Linked DNA regions of Arabidopsis thaliana. The protein of the gene in region 1 interacts with the protein of each later gene in a pairwise test. Each region holds a gene or a part of one and is shown on either strand. Other genes may lie near its edges.

Region 1 (7,740 bases):
CGATTGATTCATACCCAACAGGAGCGTGTGATAGCCCATTCGCGTCAGCAGCATCAATAAGCTCTTGTTTACGCATGAATTCTTTCCCATTTGTAGTCCTTCTGGTAACACGAAAAAACAAAAACGGTACTGAAGAAGGGTTTACAGAGGGGAAAGAAAGAGTATTTTGTGAGTAACATAAACATGTAACTAACCTGTGCAACGTTATTAGTAATGCATATCCCACTGAATTTCTTTGCGGAATGTACCGTTTTTTTCCATTGGCCTTTTTCCCTGGACAGGTTAAAAATCAGCATACATAAAGACATTACATTGATAATACATGTGTACAATGTGATATAGATACAGCCAACAGCCCAACACCACTACCAGCACGATTATCAGGTAAATCTTCTTGCTCAGAACTTTCAACAGCAGTATCAAAATATCCTTTCATGAGCTTAACCATCCACTTGCCAAAGCCCCTATGCAATCAAGAAACAGACACTTGGTTGGATAGAAGCAAAGCCACCCAAAAAATTAAAACCACTCACAATCAGATCAGCTTTGCATTTAAAAAGGCTTAAGAAACTAAAATGAATATAAACAAACACTTGCCCTTGAAACAAAGAAACCACTCACTATCAGATTCACTGATTTCACAAGGATAAGAAACACGCATATTGTCTAATTTTATCTACATGACTTCAACTTCAGATAAAACAAACACAAACCCTTAGCCAAAGCCTGAATTAACGGGAACCAAAAACGTATGTGAACTGTAGGTAATAAAGATACAATTGATATACCGAGGAGCATCTTATTACTTTCTTAGTCGCTAAATTCATTCCACCATTCACTCAATACTGAAAAGGGGGAGAATTTCGAACCAGAAACACAAAAAGGTCACATCTTTTTCCACCATTGCGAAAAAAGGGCACCTCAAACAAGAAACCAATGACCCAATAACCCATATCCCAATAAGAAGAGTAGAAAACCAAATTCCATAGGAGAAAAGAGGAGCGAAAGAAAGCAAGAAACATACTTGATCTGCGACAAGTCTTTGAGTGTGTTAATGGGATCCTTGGCGTCGCAGACACTCCTATACCCCTTAACAAATGTCCTCTCCAGATTTTCCGACAAGCCTTTGGGCTTTTCTGCGTATTCTTGCTTCTTCTGCAACACATAAGCCGCTAAACCTCGGTTCTCAGGGCACAGTACCCGTCTCTCGTCATCCATCACTACCCACTCCAAATAGTTTCAATTTATCAAGCGATCATAAAATTCCTTGCTGATTGGATATACTCGTTGCCGAAAAAGAGGGAAATTCTCTCGCAAAGGTTTGATCTTTGGTTCGCCGGAGAAGAGGAATAAGCACTTTCAGTTTTTAGGCGTTTTGTTGAGAATTTTTAAAAAATGGGGATTTTGACTAAAACCTTCTCTTGCCGAAGAGTAAGTCTCCGTTTCATACGGAGACTTCTGGTTTAAATCATATCAATTTGGAACAAATCTTTTAAACCAGTACAATAATTAGTATTCGACTTTGAAACATGTCATTCACTTGGTTCGTTAAAGACTTTTGATGAAAAATTTATGTTCGATAATTAGGATAGCTACCATGTAGTTGTCACAATTTGTCACTTGGTTCATCTTTGGGTTTTACTATTTTGTTGTTTACTTATCTATCAATAATACATTAATTTCATATTTTCATCAAACAACAAAGTCGAGAAACTTCAACAACAACAAAGACGTATCCCGAAACCTGATCCTCGCACCATTGAGGTACATATCGAATTCATGGAGTCTTATGAGTCTTTCTACCCACATTCCACGATGATCCGTAACGTCGTGATCTGCAACCCGACCTTGTATTCTCTGTAACTTTTGTATTTTCTGTAATAAAAACAAAAAAAGGGGACTAGGCCGACCCTTAATCAACTGGTCGTGATCTGAAACTCGATCACCTGATGAGCTCAAGGCAGAGCGAAACCAGTCACATGATGAAACTTGATACTTAGATTGCTATAGCGATTTTGTAATATGATTGTAGTCTTTATATAATTTGTTTTCTTCTGTTTGGTTATATCAAAAAATTTGTTCTGTCGAATTTTCTGCCATGATAGTGCGAGATCTTTAGATAGTTTTTTTTAAGGGAATGTATTTTCTTAAATCAGATTCAAATTTGACAAGGGTTAAATAATAATTGTGTTGTAATGGAACTGAAAGAATGTATGGTATAACCGACCGGTCTATCCCGTGGCTTCAGCTAGCAGTTATACAATTGTGGGCCTAAGCTTCGGTTACAAGCACGATTGGTTCTATATCTCCACAGAGATTACTAGATAACGACAACAGACAAACTATCAAAGCACATTGTTTATAGATATTTTGCAGCTAATCTTGCTGCGGTTTACGGGCTATAGGTCGGTGAAACAATCTTCTGCGTTTTGCTCCCCAAGATACAACCAAACAGTTTGGTTCTTTCCTCTTTGTCCCAAGATAACCTTGACAGTTTTCAGAACCACAATTGCACTTTACTTCAGGACCAAACTGCACAAATCTGCCATTACACAAAGAGAGAAGCTAATATATCAGAATCTCAGATTACTTAGGCTAATTATAAGCACATAAAAGAAACAAATGGTCAAGAACTTGACCTGTAGTCATATGTAAGTGGCTCTCCTGCTTCTATTTGACGAGCTGCAAAGACACCCACACGGGTCTCACCTTCAACTTGCCTGTTAGAACAAAATAATCAAACTGACTCATGCTCTCTTACTCGAGCATCATCGACATATTTATATGAAATAATATATGCTTTACCACTTTTCCAATACACAGTTTGGGTTGCAACTGTGGTTCAGAAACCGAGAGGCGTTCCCTTTGAAGGTAGCATCAATCGTGAAGTCTTTTTGAATCTCACACATGTAAAAGTCTTTCATGCCTTTGTGTTTCATATCCCAAAGCCTTTGCTCACATTGAGCATCACTAATCACTGTGGATAGAGTGAAAACAAATCACTAAAAACTCTGTCGCTTTCCACCACAAACATAAGGCTCAAAGACCAAATCAAGATAGTTTACCTTCACCAATGTATTCGACAATGAAGTCCTCTTTGTTGATTGATTCTGCTGCCTCAACTCCCCAACCGCAATGTTCAGTCTGTAAAACCAATAACATGACATGTCAAGATAAAAAAACACAAGAAGAGTGTAATGCAAGAATCATAAACTAGAGACTAGTTTTACCTTAACAATTTTGATCTTTTTCTCTTTGCGGAATGGTCTGTTTCCACAACTTTCAGGACAGCTGCATCCCTTTGAACAGCTTATGCATTGAACCCTGAGAGAAATTTTTCAAAACGGAAACTATTCAAAACGAAATGAATGTTAACAGAGAAAATTTGTTTGGTTAATTAACAAATATACCTGCAAACACAGCTTCTATCGCAATTAGGGCCACAATTTGTGCACCCAACACCATCATTAGCATTATCACGCTTTTTCTTAACGAGGTAAATATCTTAACTCAGTCAAGGAAAAGACACACTAATGTTGTGAAAAAATGAGAATTATGTACTTTTAAGGCAGAAATATTGAATGTGGAAACTATAAAGGATACTGCGTCTAATGTGCACATAAGAAGGCGGATCTTCCTTCACAACAGAATCTTTCCATGCTAAGTCAATCTTAAACTCCTCTTCCACATATGGCAAAGGCAACTGGCAAAAGACTTCCTGAATAAGAAAGTAGATAAACATTCAGTGCCTAGCTCTTGAAATTGTGTAAGATAAAAACAAAATATCCAGCTTTCAAATCTCTTCCCTCTTTTTGATTTTCGAGCGGCAAGTCTATGTAAGAATTAGTTTCCTTTACTACAGTCACATTTGGCACGTGGCAAAGAAACACTGACCTCAATCTCACTCTGTGCAACTGCATGCTGCTCAATCAACAGAGATTTTGTCAGTCCTGTGAGTAAAACTCTATGAAAGTACAAATCGTAAGAAGCTTCAAGAAGTATCTTATGAAAGCGGTAAACTAAAAAATCAACCTTTGTGTCTAGCCGCCAATCAGTTGGATGCCTCCAACAAACTGCTCTTCCTGGTTGGTCTTTTAAGTGAAGTATTTCTTTTGACCATGGAGAATGTTTATCATGAGCAGCCATTGGACACTTAACACACCGCCATTGTGTTCTTTGCTTGCAGACAAAGCACTCCTGCATACTCCATTCTATCAGAAACTGAATGATACCACACAATCAAAATAATCCATTTCAATTCCCTACCTAAACACTATTACTTAGAACTAACTGTTAAGTATATCCTATTTGATGGCCTATCGTCTCTCTGAGCATTTCTACCAAAAATAAGAGCAACAAAATATGATTTGCTTCATTGAATACAAAGCCAGCCAATAAAAATGAAGAGAAATCTTCCTTAGTTCTAAACAATAAATGAGGATCTTACATGTTGAGGGCATTTAAATTTGCTTGACTTAGAAAAACCAAGACTTTCTTTCGCACAAAGCGAGTGATAAGCGCCTTGGCAGCCGCGAACAGAACACGATAAGTCTTCCCCCGGGTACACCGGCTTATGGCAAACAAGACAATCAACCTGACACCAAATCCCATATAGTCATTATGTCAATAAATCTAATAACTTAGTCACTAATTGACTTGAAGATTCGAATGACTTTAAAAGTAAACTAGTAGTCAAACAATATCTAAATGAATATGAGATCTTACACGGACATCACTAAAGCCAAAAAAAGGTGATGAATTCAATTCACAGATGCAATATACTTCAAACAAACTTCATAACTCAAGATATTATGTATATCCTAAAATCCAAATCCCATGTAGTCTATATGTCAATAAATCTAAAAACTTCACAAGTCATTAATTTGACATAACAAACAACATACCATTTTCTTGGCACCAACAAGAAAAGGAAGGAAACATGTCGACTCTGAAACACCAGAAGCCACTCTTCTCTTGACCCAATCCTTCACATGATCATCCAAGACAAACCCTTTCTTGACTCTGTCAGACGGATTCTGTTTCCGGGTAAAAGCAGTGACTCCATTAGCAATTTTAATGTCCTTGACCTCTTCCTCCGGTGGAATCATTGGTAAATGTTTCCCATTGCATTCTCCGGCTAGATTTTCCGGGGAATTGATAGATTTGGCTAATTCAGGGCCTGAAGCCGCCGGAAGAAAAGAAGGGCAACAAGTGAGAGCAACAGATGCAGACATAGACATGTTTCCCAGATCTAACATCCTAAACTCGAAAGTACAAAAGATGGAAGAGTAAGAAGAAGAAGACAGTTACGTTTTGTCTTTGTTGGGTAGGCGAAAAGCGAAGAGACATGAAAAAATATGGAGGGAATTTAAGGCGGGAGATTTGTCCTAAAATATTATACAAAAAGGTCCTTGTATTTTAAATATTGTTTTAATTGCCCCCAAACATTTTTTCTGCTAGTTAAATTTCTTTACCAACTAAAATCCCCCACATTCATATCTACCAATAACAGTGCTACACGCAATGATTAATGCCGGTTCCCAAAACGGAACTGAACAAATAGCTAAAATTAATCAAATCATGATTTGAAAGTATATCGTATTGATCAGTGTTCGGTTTGTTAGTTATAAACAAGATATTTCGTTTTCGTTTTTGGATATGTTTACATGTCATTTTAGGTTCGTTATGTCACAACTTAAATCAAATTATATGCTTTCTAGGTATGTTTTAATTAATTACTCTCTTTTTTTTATCATACATCTTTACAGACTCACGAAAAATGATCTATGATTTCATCTAGTGAAAGATAAATGGATTAATCAGTTTGTATAACATCTTAATTTCGTTTTTTTTTTTCATTTCGTTAGTGTCTATTGTCTAAATTTCGATAATTCAGTTTTCATTTGATTACTATACTCAAACAAAATACCTAGCGTAAATTGCTTTGTTAGACCATATTTAGCAACAAAATCTAATAAAGTATTGATCTTTGAGTCTAGGTTTCCACAGTTCACCACGCAATACTCACCTTTCTTTATACACTTTACAAAGATAATGAGTAATCGTTAAATAATCCAAAGAATTTACTCATCCATGTACACATAGTTTATACTTAATCCTCTTAGCAAGAAATTATGGCGTCTAAGAATCGATTTAGATGAAAAACGGACCAACTAAGCAAACTAGAATATATGTTCACTTCACGACAACTTTGTATATAATTATACACAAAACAATATACATTCATTTTGTATGATATACAACAAATCTTTTGAAAATACTACACTCTTTTCTTTAATGTATTTTTAGGCTAATGTTGAAATATTCTTGTATTTATATTATGAAATTTGAATTAGACCGGATCAAACCGGATCCACGTTATCTTGATTTTAAAATGAAGAACTCCAAATAAATCTAGATTACAAACTGATTATCATTTGCTAAAAAGATCCTAAAGGTTATCATTTGAGATTCAGCAGGCGAACAACAAAAATTATTACTATATTCGTACGGTTCCATTCGATTTTTGTTCACTCATTTGTTGTTACTACACTTTACTACTCAAAATTTGTTACCCTCGTTTAGTCCGATTCGATGGTTCCTCATCGTTCATTGCGGTGAATTACTATGAAAGTACAAATTAAAAATAATCTGAAACATTGATGATAACAATGTAGCAATGTAGTCGTAACATGCCAACATCGAATTCTGGGCCAACTATATTTTGCTTTGGTAAGCGAACCATTCATTCAGTTTTTAATTATTATATCCAATTGTTTGACGCGTTTTAAATAAATCAATAACATAATCCATGTTCATACCAATTAAATATAGATATGTATGTACGTGTTGTCTTGTCTTATGAATCAACCCTCCTTGGAGAATCTTATGCCATAAAGCCAATAAAAAGTTACCTACTCTTTCAATTTACCTCGTTCGTTTAATCTGTTTTGATCAACACTCCCCATATTATCAAATCATTTAGGAAACGTATAAATGAAACGAAAATATATGTTTTAGTTACTCAACAATGTTATTAAGGGTCAGGCAACAAAAAAATCTTGAGGGGTAAAAACAAAGTTCTCGATTTAATAATTATAGACTATAGGTTTAAACAGAGACCCACAAATTCTGCATTTCTCACCTTCCAACTGTAACTTTAATATTTGTTTCAAATTGACACGGCGGGTAAAAATAATCAGGTGTATCCTCCCTCACACTAAGGCGAAACTAACATACTAATAAGGAAGAGACACGTGTAAAAAAGACCGGTCAAAGACGCTACGTAGATAAAAGTCACGAAGCTTGCTCGTTTTTAAAATTCAAAGAGGTTTCATCTCCGTATAAGTAGGCGACGAAGCATACCACGAAGATCGAAAAAAAACAAATCAGATTCTCAAATACTGAAAATAAAAAGAAGAAGAGAGAAATCTACGGTGGTGGGTGATTCGCCGGAGTTCAATTTCGTAGCTAGATTTCTCCTCCTTTTCCCCCCGACGAGCTGTGCGAGAGAGGGAGGGGAATCATGCAGAAACGGAGAACGGTGAAGGAATCTACGAAGATAAGAAATGGTAAAGGTATGGATTCCGGCGAAAAGAAGAGATCTGAGAAGAGATTGATGAAGTTCGAGGAGTTACCTAGGTATTTGAAAGATAACGAGTTCATACACAATCATTATCGATGTGAGTGGTCAATCAAAGAAACTTTCCTCAGCGCTTTCTCATGGCACAATGAGACTCT
Region 2 (6,982 bases), on another chromosome or scaffold:
AACTAAATAAATGTATTGTGAGTTTTAATATTAAAATCTATGCGTACTAAGCAAGACTAAGGAACAAAAATTATATCCACTAAAATGAAGTCTTAACGGATTAATTTGGTAACCTTTTTCTATATCTATCAACTTGATTTTGGCTTGAAGCATTAAGCATTAAAAGAGAATGATTAGGTTACAACATTGATCGATCCAGTGATTTTGCTTTTAATGGTAATCACCAAACGAAAGATGTTGACAATGAAAAGTTTGTGTACTTATTTGAGTTTATTTTGAACTTGCATTAAAGAAAAGCTTATGGTTACTTATAGGTTGGATTCTTTTTTTTTTAGGTTGGGTTCTTGACTTCTTTAAATAATGCTTTTATAGTTTGCATGCAAAATAACAAAATACCTAATAAAAGCACATGCAACGGTTTTGTTAGATATAGGAAGGCCCCTGTCCCTGTGGCCCATATATTTATAGTCTTTTACTTCATGTATTTTTTTTAACAAGTTCACTTTATCTTGTTCATAATTTTTTTTTTAAAACTTCACTTTATCCTATTTCATCACTTTTAGTTATTTAGTTATTTTATAATCAACTAGTAATCCAAACTTTTATCAAAAGATTAATCTTTTTGGGTGAATGTAGCTGTCGAATAATACACTCGCGAAATTTTATAATGGACCTAGAACATAACACTACTTTAATTGGCAAAATGAAAATGGTTAGACAATTTTTATTACATAAGAAAAAGTTAATAATATATGCAAGAGGAAGAAAAATATTAAATAAAATTTAACTTGGGGAGTGTATCTTAATTAAAAGTTAATGTATCCAAGATTAGCCTTTGCATGTTGAGAATATGTTGCATAATGCATGAGAATGACACACACACTTGTGTCCCTTTAGATAATTTATGAAAAGCAAAAATTATGTTTTTTTTGTCAATGAGCAAAAATTATGTTTAAATCCATAAAAATATAGTAAACTAATAAATGGAGGGAAAAAAGGGTGAGTTAAAAATATATACATGGATGAACAAAATAAACAAAATATTAAGAATTTATACATAAAAATCTGTTATTTAGGTAAATAGACAAGAGAAATAAAATATAAACTAGAAATATCCTTCTTGTTTAGATTAATTACAAAAATATCATCGATTCAAAATAACTTTAATATTTAAAAATAAGTATATAACTATTTGTTTAGCAAGCTAACATATATAATAACGTGGTAAATTTACATATTCTATGTTAAATAAATGTTTATCGATTTAAAATTATGAATCAATATTATTATTTTTATATATATCAACACAATAAAAATACATCATGTTATATAATTAAAATGATAACGATTATAATAACATTTTACATAGAATAATAACATGCTAACATACTAAATATCGAAATAATAGTTGTCTCAACATGGTAAGATAATCGATATATGAATAATAACATGGTAACATACTAAATATCGAAATAATATTTGTCTTAACACGGTAAGATAATCGATATATGGATAATATTTATTTGAACGTACTAAATGTTTCATTTAACGTACTAATGTTTCATCGAACCTTTTATTTTTAGTTTAATTAATTTAGGGGTATAATTGTCATAAAATTAAAATAGTAGAAGACAACGGTGTTTTTTTTGTCAGTTAATTATCATTATTCTGAGGATAGATAGTCATATTACCCAAAAAAAAAAAAGTAAACTAATAAATGAGTGGCATGATATATAAGCTACATGCCCAAACACACATCCTTGTCTAACATTGGGCTCAAATAGATCTAGTCAAGTAATAATTTGGGCTGTCATAATTTATCAACTTCAATCTTTTTTTTTATATATATAGCAAAAGTTCAAAAGACAACAAGATTGATGGCAATGTATATTTGCACTATGAAAAAACAATAGAAGTATTAGATAATTAATACTTGAACCATTTTTTCAAATGAAACAGTTTTTCTTTTTGACAATAATGAAACAGTTTTAAAAAAAATTAGAAGTATTAATCCTGACTGATACCTTTTGACCAATACCAATTTCATAATATATGGTGATATAATCAACTTAACTACCAATCATATGAAACAAAATAAATAGCTAAATAAAAGAGAGAGTAAGATAAAAGATGAATAAAAAGACTACATAACGACATAATAGTTTTTACAATTTTAGCAAATTACTAATCAGAAAAAAAAAAAAAAAATTACTAATCAGAACTAAAATATCTTAAACAGACCAAACAAATTAGTAGTAGAATTAACATTAACAACAACAAAAATCCAAAAAAAGAAAAGAAAAGACATCACCAACTGTAGATAGTCTCAATCCAACAATAAAGACTAAGCAATACAATTTTTTTTTTTACCTGCTTACATCTTCTAAGTCCCTTTTACTGGCATTTCTTATAAACTGGAAACTTCACCTTCTTCTTTCATAATTTTCTCCTAACTCGCTTTACCTTTTCATAATTTGGTTATTTAACTTCAAGGTCTAGCTCTCTTGTTACTGCAAGTTGGGCATTTGTAATGCTTGATGTGTTCTGCTTTTGCAGGTGTTATCTTCACACATTTTCCATGGAACCATTTCTCACACGCGTCGCAGCAAATCCAGAACTCATCTGTACCGTAGTTGTCTCCACAAGCACCACAAACCGCACCTTGTTCATCGTCTTCACTCTCATCTTCACTCTCATCTTCTTCTTCTTCTTCTTCTTTTGGCGGTGGAGATGACATCTTTGCAACCTTTGAGAGAGATTCGGATTGGCGAGACTGTTTGTGAGGAATACAAAGAGATAAAACTTAGCAGAGATTGATAAAACAAAATGGTGAAACAGAAGAGATACCTTGACGCCACTAGGTTTGCTTTTGCTATTATTGTTGTTAACAGATAGATCCTTGGACTGCTTTGCATTGCCGCTCACAACTTCGAAAATGGTTGGCAGCTCATTAATCATCTGGAACAGCCTCTTCCTGAAAAAGAATCGGTCCATGGCATAAGCTTAAAGGCAAGTGATAGCTAAGTTGTTCAAACAAACCTAATGCCAGAGAAGAATTTGATGAGATTCAGAATCAACAACTCATTCTGCTCAAGCTTTTCGTTTAACCTGTCAGCTACCAGTATCAAATAATGGATTCAGTGATTGTTGCTGAGCTCTCAACAAAGGTACAATGCAGTGGAAACTACCTAGGCTAATTACAGTGATCCTGCACAAGACTAATACAAGAAGTACTAATCAGACTTAGAGGCACATATCACATCTATTGACTAATATATCTATCTCAATAACATTGATCCAGATTGGTGCGATTCATAACTCTAGTCACTTCAAAATAGAAACTGGGAACCACTTACAAAAAGAGTTACACAGAAACCGACCCTATAAATAAGATCACGTGAGTTACAAAAATCCACACAGAGATTGTTGTATCAGACAAATAGACAAAACAAGAGGATGCTAGAATGATCATTATAACCTTACCACACATGAGTACACCCAATATTGTCATAATTGAGATGCAACACTCAAAAACACTGAGCTTGAGAAGGACCCTTACCTCTCATTCTTGCCAAATCCGAAACGTGCACCAAAGTAAAATGCAACAGAAAGCAGCCATGAATCACTGTGAACTGCGACCAAAGATACCCAGTCCTTTTCTTGCATTCCGTCTCTAGCGAAATTGATGCCTAAAGCTGGTTCAGGAAGCTCAGGAGGAACTTCCTCAACGGGTAGATTAACCTCCCATGTCTCATTTGGAAGTCCATAGAGACACAAATTCTCCTTCTCTACATAAACAAGAATGAAACACCTTAAAGAAAAACCACACAGAGGAGGACTAACTAACTCAATCTTTAACCAACACAATTCAACAACATACAAGCTCAACAACTTCAACAAAACATTTCACTAGAAACTATAGAAGCTAAGCAAGACTAATTTTTTAAAAGTTGTGAAGAAATAACTCACCAGGATCACACGTTTGGTAAAACTTCACCATATCTGCATAAACAAAACACAAAACCCAGAATCGTCAAATCTCACAAAAGAAACCCAAAATAAAAAAAGTTCTTCTTTTTTAACAAATGAAAAACCCAAATGCCACAAAATCGTAACTCTGTAGATACTTATCATTCTGATTCGCAAGTGAGAAACAAGAATCAGACCAAAACTGACCATTAGTGAGAGCTTTAATAAGACCAGCTCGTCGACCTCTGAAGTCGCTAAAGACCTCTTCAACAGTACGAGGTATTGGATGAGTAATTCCCTCCATTTCACAAACGATGTCGCCGGAGAAATCGCCGGAGAATATGAGTACTCCGGTCAAAATCAAAATCTGAGACAAATGTTTCCAGGCAAACAAAAGAAACCCAGAAGGAAAAATATTCACTTTGGGGTTTCGGATTTGGAGAAATGAAATTTGTAAATCTCTGAAAGAGAGAGTTTTTTTTTAATTTGGGGGAAATTGAGAAAAGAAAAAAAGAGAAAGGAGCTACAAACCCTAAAACGATAAAACAAAAGGGACCGATCAAAGATTAATTTTGGGGCTGAGAAGTAATATTAATAAAGACAACATTGTCTATTTTATTATTTTTGTATTAATTAAATAAAGACAACATTGTGTATTTTATTATTGTTTATGTAATAATATAAAATCTATTTATTAATTCCGATCTACATACCCTATTTTTTTCCGAGCTACATTCCCCACTCCCAAATTTTACATTATTTTTATTTTGGTCAAAGACATTTATTTAAATTTTATTTTATTTTTAAAAGTGTCGACGAAAAAAACATGTATTTTTTTTTTTTAACATATTCATTTCCATTAATATTACGAAAAAAAAACATGTTTTTATACGTAGGCTGAGGCATCCAAATTGATCCACAAATTTGGTTTTTGTTTTCAATTAACTTGACCTTAAAGATAAAAGTTAAAAGTTAAAACATTCAGGTCCATCTTGTATTGTACAGAAATAGCATGCCTGGCCCATTAAAGGATAGTGGGCTTTTATAGTAACCTAGGGGAAATGAGATTTGAAGTTTTCAACGATCATCACATTCACGTATTTTGAAAGTTTTTTTCACGATATACACCAGAAATAGATATTTTGAAAGAGAAAGCTACTAAAAAACGGAAAACATTTTGCCTTTTATCACTCAAAAAAATAAAAAATTCATCAAATTTTTAATTATTTTATTGTTTTTATGTGTGATTCTAGATGTAAGAATTAAGAAACGAACCAATATTAATCGGATTCGTTATCTTTGAATATTTTTGCGTTAAGCACGTCGTACTAGCTAGCGAATACGTTTACCGCAACTGTAATCTAATTCGTCACAGAATATCAATGATGTGGTATAATCAACTATAATCTTCTTTTTTCTTTGGGCAAAATCAACTATAATCTATGAATATATACTTACTAATATAGGTGATAGACATATATTATTTAAAATAATCTAAGAAAACATGCAAATACGGTTACATCGACCGGTTAGAAAGGGAAAAAACTTTAAAATTAGTACTTTCGTATCATATTCAAGTCAGTATATATTAGGATTTTGCCACATTACATATATTATTAAAGATTGTTAATAATTAGGATTAAAAAGACTAGTATGAGAGTTAAGTCAAGTTTAAATTTGTTTTTCTCATTGAGAAAAAGGGAACTGATTTCTTACAACATACAACTGTTCATGCTGGTCATATCTGACAAAATCACGGGAACAACTGCTCTTACCAAATATTGCACGTCCTATGCTTTTTTTTTTTGTCAAACCCTAATTAGTCTTATATTTACAAAGACAAAAAACTAGCTAACATCTTTTATCTTTATATATTTCTATCTCAAAATTAGTTGTTGAATTCTTAAGAGTTAGTGGATTGTTTATCTATAAAGTCGCACTAACAGGTAACTAAAATTAAACATCTTGGATCTAATGCATGTAAATGACAATGCAAAATGAATTCTAATAAGTGATGAATAAACAACAAAAAATATCAACATTCAATTTGAAATTTTGAAATGGAATGAAGACCAAATTAAATATCACTAGGTTGGATTTACGGTTACTATTGTTATGGTTTAGTTAGTGTTTGGTTTTAGTCTGGTTTCGGTTAGGGCTCGTACATGAAAATCTAATCCAATAAGTTTATTTCTTCTTTGGTTTGTTTGAGAACTTTTGATACGGATTGCACTCCTTAGTCATTTTGTATTCATATATTACAGTGAATTTTTTTTTTTTAACTACGTTGAATCTAGCTTAAAGAAATTAACTTTAACACAAGAAAAAAAAAACTACTTAATTGACTATATATGTTGAGAATCAGTTCCATTACATAAACTCGCAGTAATCAATCATTGTCTATCGCCATAACAATATATAAGGAGTATGAAAATATGGCAAAGCAGCATTAATAATTATTGTCATGGATAATAATCATGATCTAATTAAATTACTTAAAAGGAATATTAGTATAGTGATCTCTGTTTCCATCTGGTACTATTGGATTCCACATATCCCACAAAGCATTGTTTGGAATCGTTCCTGCAGGAATCATGTTCATAGCTAACGCCGCTTGAGTTTGAGGCATTAGCGTTGTCGCTGTAGTCGCCGCAGCCACCAATTGTAATGCGTTTGCGTTAGCATTTTGTTGTTGAGTATGATGAAACTGTTGAGCAATTTGAAAGTATTGGTGATTGATGTTACCTCCATCTGATATTTGGTAGTTAACTAGTCTTTGAAGATCGTCAACAATGGCAGTTTCATCATCGTCTTGATGATTTCTCGTAGAGACTATCAATGTGTTGTTGCTTGTGTCGTAAGGCATTGGACGATATATGTTTTGATTGGCTAGAGCAATGGTAACGTCAGAGTTACTGTTTGTGGTCGTTGTTGTTGTGCTGCCGTCGCCGGAATATTCGGTGGAGAGCTTCTCGAGATTGTTGATGTTGTTGTTGTTGTTAAGGTTGTTGTC

Evidence for each region.
Region 2: the proteins of SDG4 (region 1) and AL6 interact in a two-hybrid assay, tested with the Arabidopsis thaliana proteins (one large-scale study listed by BioGRID).

The regions. Positions count from the first base shown.
Region 1 is NC_003075.7:15,022,064-15,029,803, reverse strand, and holds SDG4 (SET domain group 4), read right to left. Parts: upstream 5,361-7,740; 5' UTR 5,259-5,360; coding exon 4,905-5,258; intron 4,595-4,904; coding exon 4,448-4,594; intron 4,198-4,447; coding exon 4,033-4,197; intron 3,922-4,032; coding exon 3,895-3,921; intron 3,719-3,894; coding exon 3,604-3,718; intron 3,505-3,603; coding exon 3,411-3,504; intron 3,325-3,410; coding exon 3,231-3,324; intron 3,145-3,230; coding exon 3,066-3,144; intron 2,978-3,065; coding exon 2,806-2,977; intron 2,721-2,805; coding exon 2,640-2,720; intron 2,543-2,639; coding exon 2,377-2,542; 3' UTR 2,132-2,376; downstream 1-2,131. Other genes in the region: MUS81 (Restriction endonuclease, type II-like superfamily protein), read right to left, coding at 15-101, 195-273, 370-464, 1,025-1,218; HHP2 (heptahelical transmembrane protein2), read left to right, coding at 7,526-7,740. UniProt on the Arabidopsis thaliana protein: Histone methyltransferase. Involved in stamen development.
Region 2 is NC_003071.7:650,128-657,109, reverse strand, and holds AL6 (alfin-like 6), read right to left. Parts: upstream 4,535-6,982; 5' UTR 4,274-4,534; coding exon 4,177-4,273; intron 4,003-4,176; coding exon 3,970-4,002; intron 3,789-3,969; coding exon 3,560-3,788; intron 2,975-3,559; coding exon 2,848-2,974; coding exon of another isoform or gene 2,774-2,847; coding exon 2,489-2,773; 3' UTR 2,125-2,488; downstream 1-2,124. Other genes in the region: LOV1 (NAC domain containing protein 35), read right to left, coding at 6,461-6,982. UniProt on the Arabidopsis thaliana protein: Histone-binding component that specifically recognizes H3 tails trimethylated on 'Lys-4' (H3K4me3), which mark transcription start sites of virtually all active genes.